Drosophila melanogaster: one gene and its partner. The protein of the gene in region 2 purifies or fractionates together with the protein of the main gene of each other region. This does not show direct contact. Each region holds a gene or a part of one and is shown on either strand. Other genes may lie near its edges.

What was found.
Region 1: the proteins of CG10939 (region 2) and Slik purify together in Drosophila melanogaster (affinity purification with western blotting, with the first as the bait; one study listed by BioGRID). This does not show direct contact.

The regions. Positions count from the first base shown.
Region 1 is NT_033778.4:24,399,485-24,404,405, forward strand, and holds the start of Slik (Sterile20-like kinase), read right to left. Parts: upstream 3,197-4,921; 5' UTR 3,077-3,196; intron 2,901-3,076; exon of another isoform or gene 2,351-2,900; intron 2,325-2,350; 5' UTR 2,179-2,324; intron 2,002-2,178; 5' UTR 1,886-2,001; coding exon 1,562-1,885; intron 1,497-1,561; coding exon 1,298-1,496; intron 1,235-1,297; coding exon 924-1,234; intron 857-923; coding exon 716-856; intron 620-715; exon of another isoform or gene 544-619; intron 408-543; coding exon of another isoform or gene 366-407; intron 1-365. Other genes in the region: Rpn8 (regulatory particle non-ATPase 8), read left to right, coding at 3,706-3,880, 3,948-4,789.
Region 2 is NT_033778.4:17,392,589-17,397,778, forward strand, and holds the start of CG10939 (uncharacterized protein), read left to right. Parts: upstream 1-2,004; 5' UTR 2,005-2,438; intron 2,439-5,190.

The DNA of each region.
Region 1 (4,921 bases), 7.0 Mb from region 2:
GTCTTAACGTAAGGAGCTTATAGATAGTGAAACTGACACTTTTGTCAGCTATGTGCTGGTCAGACTGATTAGTAACTTAAAACCGTGTGTGATTGAAAGTGTGCTGCCTATAATTACCGCAAGAAACCGATAGCGAGGGCTTACGGAGGAAGCCAAGTACAATAACAAACACAACGAGCGAAGTATGCCTCCGACAGAGGAGCTAAGTGATAAGCGGCATTTGGCAATGCTGATAAAATAAGTAAACTAATTGTGGGTCCGCTTTTGAAGGACAGTGCCTGGGATGCAGAAACAGAGGAGGGGAGGGGTGCGGGTGCCAGGAACGGACGGAGCACGGACGGCTTGCTGTAGAACGACTTACCAACCCTCTGATAGAGCGAGCGCCGCTTCACTTGGCGTTTAAGCTTCTATATCAATTATTTCCAAGTAACCACATACAAATGATAAGAACAAACATTGCGACATTTTGGCGGAACAAAACAGAACGTAACATAAACGCAAGGCAAAGAATAGTCGAGAAGAAACGAAGATAAACATATAAAATAATGTATCGCGCGGTGCGATTTGGTTGGGTTTTCAGGCGGCAGCGTGTAAGAGAGAAGAAAGAGCAGTTGGAGAGGTGAGAGAACGTAGAAATTATCATCACATCTAGCAGTTGGACTACAAGGGTGCGGTGCTGGGCACAGGGATCCATGGGCTTCCAAGGCGCACTCACCTCGGTCTCATCATCCACCACCTCTTCCACGACCTCGGCCTTGTACTCAAGCAGCAGATCCTTGATAGGCTTGGCATCCAGATTTCTGTTGATGAAAGCGTGCTGCATCAGCACATCCGTCGTGGGCCTCACCTGCGGATCCTGTTCAGAAGGAATACAAAAGTAAAGTTAGAATGGAATGTAAATAACAGATTTTAGGGTTACCCACTTTGACTAAGGACTTCTTCAGGAAGTCGTTAAACTCCTTGCTCCATCGAGAAGGCTGCTCCAGCTTGGGCGGCTCGCTCTTTTGTATTTTCAAGAGCACTCGCATGGGCGACATCTCGCTGTTGGGCGGCTCCATCTGCGCCAGCTCAATGAGCGTGATGCCCAGTGACCAGATGTCCACTTTGTGATCGTACGGGTTGTCCCGGAAAGTTTCGCAAAGCACCAGCTCCGGGGCCATCCAGTAGGGAGTGCCAATGAAGGTGTCGTGCTTTTGCATGGTGTGCTTGTTTTTGGCCGAAACGCCAAAGTCCGCTGAAATGAGTTGATTTCACTTTGAGATCGTCTCGGCTTAGGAAAAGGGCACCGATAACTTACCCAACTTGACGCCACCTTCCATTGTGAGAAGCACGTTTCCTGCCTTCAAATCACGATGGATGACTTTGTTGCGATGCAGGAAGGTGAGACCCTCGGTCATGTGCTTGCAAACATAGGCAATCTGCGGCTCAGTCAGCGGCTTTTCCAGCTCCACCATAATGCTATCCAGGGCCCCTCCGTCGCAGTACTCGATGAGCATCTGAGAGGAATTTCAAGGAATGATTCATAATCCCGATAAAACTTGAAGTACATCGATATACTCACCCACAGCTTATCATCGATGGAAAAGGCCTCATACAGCTCCACTATATTTGGGTGCTTGATCTCCGACAGAATGTCGATCTCGACCATGTGATCGCTAAGGTTCTCCTCGTCCTCCAGCTGACACATTTTTGCGGCAGCAAATCGCTTCTGCTCCTTGTGCTGAGCCTTGTAAACCTTGCCAAAGGCTCCGTCGCCCAGTTCGCCGACCATTTCCCAGAACTCCGCCGGATCCGTGTCCATCTTGATGTTGTTGTACAGGCGCTTCTTCTTGGCCTCACCCCCGCCGAGGTGGAAGACCTTCTTCAGGTTGGTGATAAACGACATGTTGGCTCTCTTGTAGATTTCCCCTGCTTCTGCTGACGATGATGATTTCTTGGGTTGAGTCTACATAGTGAGCTCCTGGGCGAGAGTCCAAGCAGGAAAACTAGATTTGGTGAAAGCTGCGGACATTGGCAAGCGTTTATTGATTGAACGGGCAGGTGTATATCACAGACTTGGCAGGGTTTCAAGTCTAGCTCTAAGTTTCAATCTGAATCTCATTCTGAATCGGAATCCGGGGTGGAACTGCCCCGTTCTAGAACGCAGACCATAGCCCAGATATCGTGGCCTAAACTCACCTTCTTTGCAGCACTCTCTCCTCGGTTCCTTCTCTTTTTTTGTTCAGCGAAATAGGCCAAAAAGCGGGGATTGTGGGCTTGGTTGGCCCGTCTTTAGCGCTTCTGTGTTCTGTATGTTTTATAATTTAATTAGCAGCTAGCGAGCTCTAATATTTGTAGAAAAAACACGTACGAATGGGAGGGAAATGATTACAAACGAGAAAAAGTCAAAGACGTAGACAAAAGAGCGTGCGTGTGTGTGTGTGCGTGTGTCTCTGCTTGCGAGTATTTGTGAGCTGGTCTCTGGGCTTTTAAGCCCCTCTCCCCCTTCAAGACGGACACCCGAACACCTATTTACGCCGAAATTGCAGCGAAACCCGGGATTTACGGATGCCAAAGCTGACTAATTCGTAGAGGCGCCTTCAATTCGCACTGCTCAGCTCGTAATTCGTGAAATTTGTAAACAACACGCGCACTTTTAACTAAATTCAACATCCCATTGATGATTACGGAGCAAGTATAGCGGCGAATGGGCGTGAAACTTGAGGACGCACGCAAACGGAATGGGGTATTACCTCATTCGTACACAGTCACTTTCACGGTTTTCGGCTTTATCTATCACTGCACTATCGCTATTTTGACTGTTTTTGCCGCACACTAAGCCATTTGAAGCGTATTTTACCCCGAAAATGCTTGGAAATTTCTCTCGCGCAAACGCTTCGTGTTGCCACTGAGCTGCAATTGCACCCTGTTTGGCGATCTGGCAGCGCCGGCGAAAAATGGCCGTTTAGGTCATCTGTGCCAGAAGAGAGCAGCACTATTTGCCTTCGCCAAGGGCAAAAACAGAAACAACACACACTTATGCAAACACACACGCAGAGGGGGAAATAATAAGTTAAGTCGGCTGCTGCTTAGTTACTTTGCTTTACAGCTGGTTTTCGGCAGGTGCAGCCTCAGCAAACGTTCTTTTCCGCACTTCCGCTGTCCGATTGCGCACTTTCTAACTGTTTGCACGGCGCTTTTCCTCTCATGATTTTTCCACCAGCATTGTGTGGCCGTTCAACAAAACTCCAAAAATACCAAGGATGGGTGATTTTATACACCAGCAATCCGGTCCTCCTATACCCTTCCCTTTATAACATATAGAACTATTAGGTTTTCTTAACAGCTGTAGAAAATCGATATCAATTCACTACTTTCCAGAACACGACAACTTTATTGTTCTAAAATGTAAGTGTAGGAAAATAATGAATATGTTATATTTAATATGCTGTATTCCGAGTCCGAGTGTGACCAGTTAATCATTTTTAGAAAAGCATGCTTTTGCTTGCCTTGAAATAAATTCAGAAAGCGAGGCGTCGGCCACACTGTAAATCGTTTCTGCTTGTCATTTTGGCCTGAGTTTTTTGCCGCAAATTGCAGGTAATTTAGCGAAAAACAGGAGTCGCAGGAAGCCAAACCCGTCGAAAACAAATCAGTCCGGTACCTATCAATCGGCGCAGAGGTCATAGTAAGCCCCCGAACCGAAAACCCAGAAAAAGCACAAACATGCCGTCGCAGGAGGTGAGCGTAAACAAAGTGATAGTGCATCCATTGGTTCTGCTGTCCGTGGTGGATCACTTCAACCGGATGGGAAAGATTGGCAACCAGAAGCGCGTAGTGGGAGTCCTTCTGGGCTGCTGGCGATCCAAGGGAGTGCTCGATGTGTCCAACAGCTTCGCAGGTTAGTACTGCCTTTGAATATCCAAAGTCGTGGCCATAAAACAAAAGAATTCCCTCCCGACTTCCAGTGCCCTTCGACGAGGATGACAAGGACAAGTCGGTGTGGTTCCTGGACCACGACTACCTGGAGAATATGTACGGCATGTTCAAAAAGGTGAACGCCAGGGAACGGGTTGTGGGATGGTATCACACAGGTCCCAAGCTCCACCAAAACGACATAGCCATCAACGAGCTGGTCCGGCGCTATTGTCCCAACTCCGTGCTGGTCATCATCGACGCCAAGCCCAAGGATTTGGGCCTGCCCACAGAGGCGTACATATCGGTGGAGGAAGTCCATGACGACGGCTCTCCGACCAGCAAAACTTTCGAGCATGTGCCCAGCGAGATTGGCGCCGAGGAGGCGGAGGAGGTGGGCGTGGAGCATCTGCTGCGTGACATCAAGGACACAACCGTGGGCAGCCTGTCGCAAAAGATCACCAACCAGCTCATGGGTCTGAAAGGCCTGAATGCCCAGCTGCGGGACATAAAGCAGTATCTGCAGCGCGTCGGCGACAGCAAGATGCCAATCAACCACCAGATTGTCTACCAGCTGCAGGACATCTTCAACCTGCTGCCCGATATAACCAATGACCAGTTCACGGGCACAATGTATGTGAAGACCAACGACCAAATGCTAGTCGTCTACCTGGCCTCCATGGTGCGCTCGATCATTGCCCTGCACAACCTGATCAACAACAAGCTGGCCAACCGCGACGCCGAGGAGGGCAAGAGCGACAGCAAGGAGGCCAAGGAGAAGAATAAGGATAGCAAGGATAAGGACAACAAGGAGACCAAGGACAAGGACGGCAAGAAGGCGGAGGAGAAGGCCGACAAGGGCAAGGACGAAGGCGGCAAGGGTTCGCGCAAATAGGAGCGGAAGAAAAAGCGCAAACCCCGTCGCAAACGAAAGAAGCAGCGGGCGCAGGACTAGCTGCTGCTTCTTCTGTTCTCCAGGAAGTGGAACTCATCTGCAGACCATACGGCGAGGGTGTGCAGTGGCCTC
Region 2 (5,190 bases):
TGCGAAGGCCAGAGTCGAAGCGAGATGGCAGTATGCAAAGAACCGAGACAAAGCAAATATATTCGTACATATATGCCAGCTAATGTGTGTGTAATTTTATTTTTATTTGTACAGCAGTGTGCGTGTTTCGTTCGAAAGTTAAATTGAATCGGTTCCGTTGGCTTTCTGGGTTTTTCTGGCCGCCTGTTCGGTTGCTTAAGAAGATTGAACGATTTTTGCACGGTTTGAGTTTTGAAAGTTCATTTGAGTTTTCTGTTTGGGGACAATTTATTTTGATGTGGTGGTGAATTTTTGTACCAGGATTTGATTTTTATAATTTTTATAGAATTTCGCTTAAATCCGAGGTGTCCTCTTTCATTAGGTTTTCAACCTCATTGGAAATGCAATTTAAATCATTTATTACGAAAACCCCTGTAGGATTAAAGAAAACTTTTTTATTGCAGGTTCCCCAAAAGTTTTTGGCAAAATCTCAGCCTTCGCAGCTCTGCATTTGCATCTTCTTTTTCAATTCTTTGTTTTTGTTGATTTCGTTTTTTGTGCATATAAATTTGTTGCCTAATCCGGCGACGTTTTCCCAGGGAGTTGCATTTAAAGCGCCATTCGCTATAAATATTCATGCAAATCGGCAGGGAGCTAAGAAAGTGCCACCCACCAACCTCTAGAGATAAACAGGTGAATCGGCAAACAGAGCAGGTGGCGCCCATCGTTCGGCCTTAATTAAATGTAAAGGCGTTGCGCTTTAAATGCAATTGCCCTGCTCGCTAAGTGGGAACTTATTTGCAATTTCATAATTGCCAGCACTAGTTCTATCTGCACGACTGGCCGCCCTTGCCGTTCCAAGAGTTTGTTGGTCCAACTTTTTCAAAAACTAATTAAAACGATAAGGGCAACCGAGTAGAGCAGCGAAATGTCGCCGCGGAGTACCCAAAAACGCGAGCATGACACTGAAAATAATTCATCTTGTGTTTAAAAACCATCTTTAGAACAGGATTCTGAACTATAAAAATGGTTATTTTTTTAAATATATACGTAAATTTTTTTCATAAATGTTCTAAAATGTTAAATGTTAAAAATACCACCATCAATCATCCCCAATTTTGTTTGTAGTGGAATGTGCCGCTGGAACTTTGACTATTCCATTGCGATGTTTATCCAAAGATCTGCCCAAATTTGCATTAGCACACGGCTTTTGTTTGTCTCCCACACGTGGAGTGAAAAGAGTGTGCCAAGGGGCGATGAAAGTCAATTTACTTGAATGCCCAGGCGGAAATTAAATAAATTCTATGAGCACACGTCAGGTGCGCCAGGCCGAAAATGACAGTTGTCAGCTGTCAAAGCAGGGCCAGAAGTACAGTTGACCACATATCCATAAGCGTCAGCTCAAGGACCTAATATCACTCAATAACAGCGATTCTCATTGCATGGTATTTACCAATGTTCCATTACACTTCATACATTTCGTTTAGAACTGGCTTCTTTCTTGCAACGGACGACAAAACCAATTGGAATTGCACCCAGTGCCTTCTCGTTCATCCCTCTGATTGATTTCCATACAGGTAATGCAGTGGCTTGGAAACATCGTTGGACACTGCTGATAAGAGGACACAATGGGATTAAAAGGGCCCAAAAGTGAAGACAACAAAGTGATGGGTTTTACGGAAATAAAGAGCTTTGAAACAAAGTCATCATACGATAGGCCATAAAGTGGTGTAATTTCGTGGAGTTAAATAAATAATAGCTAATAAATTGCGTTAAGCGTATTGGTTGCACTGCTTAAAACATAAACATTTCAGAACATTCAAAAAGTAGTTTCTTTTAGTTTTCAGATTTACCATTGAAGCCGAAAAATCTCTCGCCCTCGAACTCCCGTGAAACTCACCACAGTGATCTGCGGACTTTTCTACTCTCTTTTCCACCACGCTGGCCCAAAAGTATGCAACACAACACACATAACGATCGGGGCTTACTTCGGCTCTCACCTGCCGCGGACGCTTCAGCAACCGAAATCAGTTACGATTTGCCCGCGAAAGCGTTAACAACGTTTCAACGGATCTTCAGCGTGTGAGATAATATTACATACGTAGAAATAATATCAGGAAGGCAGCAGCAACAGCAGCAAAAACAACGCGAGTAGCCCTCTCTCTGCGCCTCTTTCGCCTGTCAACAGTTATTTTAGCCGATTGTTTTGTGTGACTTTTTCGTGTGCTGTTCGCTTTCGTTTCGTTTAGCTGTTCGGCAACTCCTTCATTTCATTAAAAATAGTAAGGCCTTGTAACAACAACAACAAGAACGACGACGTGTTTATGTGTGTGTATGTGACAGCGTTTGCATACGGAAAAGAGTAGAGAGTGCAACAATAATAACTGCAACAAAAACAGAAAACTGAAAATCAACAGCAACATTTGAAAGGGAATCGTTTCTACTTGTTTGTTTAAGCGGTAAGTCGAAAAATGAAATTTGCAGCCTTGAGACAGTTTTAGAGCCACTGAACTTGAGCGAAATGCGAGCAGAATATCAATTGATCCATTGGAATTACTACGGACAAACGTAACAAAACAACGTGCTAAACATAAATGTGCAAAAATAATTATAAAATCGCATTGAATCACTTGCCATGATTTAACCAAGTTAATAAAAGTCCATTTCATTTGCTGGTCATCGCAATTGAAAGCCATAAAAACTGTATTTTCAATAACTGAAATTAAATAAACAATTTACACACGCAAAGCGCTTTGGGGTGGGAAAGAGAGGACGATTTGGCTGCGGGAGCGAGAGGGAAGAGAAGCTGCAATCGGCCTTAACGATTACACTTAGAAAATTGTTATAATCGGATTTTCAGTTTAAATTTCAATTGATGAAACAACAAGGATTTGATGGAACAAGTCAATATTTTTTAAACTGAATCCCAATTAAGTCCATAGCTATATGTACAAGTATATCTTAAAGATACTGATAAGGGGATTATTTGCATTTGAAATAGTACACCCGCTAACAATAACTTTTTGCTCTCTGCATTAAAGCTGAATCAATAAACTAAATAAGCCAAATTAAAATGGGCTTTTATTGCGTACCGCTAAATGTGTTGCCCTGTTAACTGCTTTTGGCTGCACTAACCGTCGCACCGCCTTACATAATAATTGTTTTGATTTATATTGCCCCCTCTCACTCGCACGCTCTCGCACCATCTCTTTTGGGCGCATTGCATAAGGCCGTTGCGTTTGCAAATGCGACATGCATGCGATTTTGTCTCTTTCTTGTCGCCTATCACTTGGCGGCCTCTCTTTCTAACGCTATTCATAAATCGCTGTTAAGTTTGGCAGGTTTTACTCCCACTTCTTCTTCTTATTTACGACAGCAGACACTCCCCACCTGCAATTCACCTGAAAAAGCCCCGAAATCCCCAATCCCCAAGTGACAACTCTGGTATTCCAGCAATGCCTCAAAGCAGGTTTCTTTAATGGTTATTTTTTCTAGTCTTTTTCTCTGTTTTTGTTTAGACTTTGCTTTTATTTTAGTTTCGAGTCGCTGGTTGTTGTTGCACTAATTCACCGGTTTACTTCTTCTGATTTGCTGGTTGTGCATTTTTGTCGCGTGTATTTCTGGTTTTTTCATAGTTTTTTTCCCCCTCCTCTTTTGTGGGTTTTTCTATGGCACTTGCCACGATTAAGATCCAATCTTCGGCGTTCTGCGCTTGTCACTAGCTATGCTAATTCGATTAAATCGGTATTTAGCGATCGGGTTTTGCATTTATCGCGGCCACAGCCCGACGATTTTTGACACATTTCGCGGATAGAAAGATCTGTGCAAGATCAATGAGTATGTCAGAAATACAACCAGTTATTGAGAATTGGCCTAGAGATTGTGGAATTCGGCATAATAAGAATATTTAGTTTCAAATTGTTATTTAAATCTATTCTACGGGAGATTTCCACGAAATGAATAAGTAGGCAATTGTTTCAGCAATTCCTGGAACGTATTGAACCCCCAAACTTTGGTGCGAATAAGACTGATCGTGACAATTAAAACAGAACACTTTTATCCAGAATTTCCCTATAAAAAATGTTATTAATTAGCCAAAGCTAACTATGCGCTTTCCCAAAGAGCTCGAGTTCAATAAATCATTTGTATTTCTCACAGCAAACAGCTGATTGTGAAGGCCAAAAGTGATCGTGATTGCTATGATCGCATTTTCGAATTCGTAGCCTTGAATTCTAAATGAAATTCGAAGCAAAAATAAACAATGATAACCGTTGAGCTTCCATAGAATTTGCAAATCCTAAACCTATTTATCATATTTGGGCGAAAATGTAGTAGTGATTCATGCGGTTCCCACATCCATTCATTTGCATTTTGAATGGCATGCGAAAATCTTCACAATTGCAGCGTCTTTCCACAATGGATGTTACCTGAGTATAGTAACTGAATCTAGTACCTGAATATACAGTTTTCAGCTTTTGCAAACATATCTTATACCTTTAAGTGATTGTGTTAGCAAGCAACAATTTGCGCATTGTTTGTGCATTATTATTGTTTCTACTTAAGCTGCCGATCATCATTTTTTCTAAACGTTAATTTATAATATTCCCAAGGTCTTTGAAAAAAAAACACATTCGTCGCAGTTGAGATTCAAGATTATTATATAAAAAGACAAAGCTGCAAGTTAATATATCAAATCAAAGCTTAGAAATTTTACTTTTCGCTTTTGATAAACTTTCGAATGAAGAAGAAGATACGAAAAATAATGGTATAAATTATACAAAATATGTGCCTTATTAAATGGATGGGGCGAACAAACGAAAACGAAAGCCCCAATCCCGGTCGGAGTTTGGCTCCGAGTCTGGGATCTCCGACAGAAATGCTTTGCTTTCCTACTCCCTTTTTTTTTTATTTTGTTTGGCTGCTCGGACAAAAGACCCAAACGAGATTCAACAGCCGAAGAAACGCCTAAAACAGCAGCAGCAGCAGCAGCAACGAAACAAGTACAAAGCCAAAGATATTTCAAAAGGCCAGCACAAAGCAGCCAGCAGAGAGAAGACCAGACCCCGAGCAAACCCAAAAAACAGGTTCTAGAATCAATTTTTATTTTCTCAAGCTCAACCAAAAAATAACTACAGAAACAGAATAAAACGAAAATTCAAGTCGCAACAGGAAAGGAAGTTGAGAATTCGATTAACCGAAATTTTAATGCTC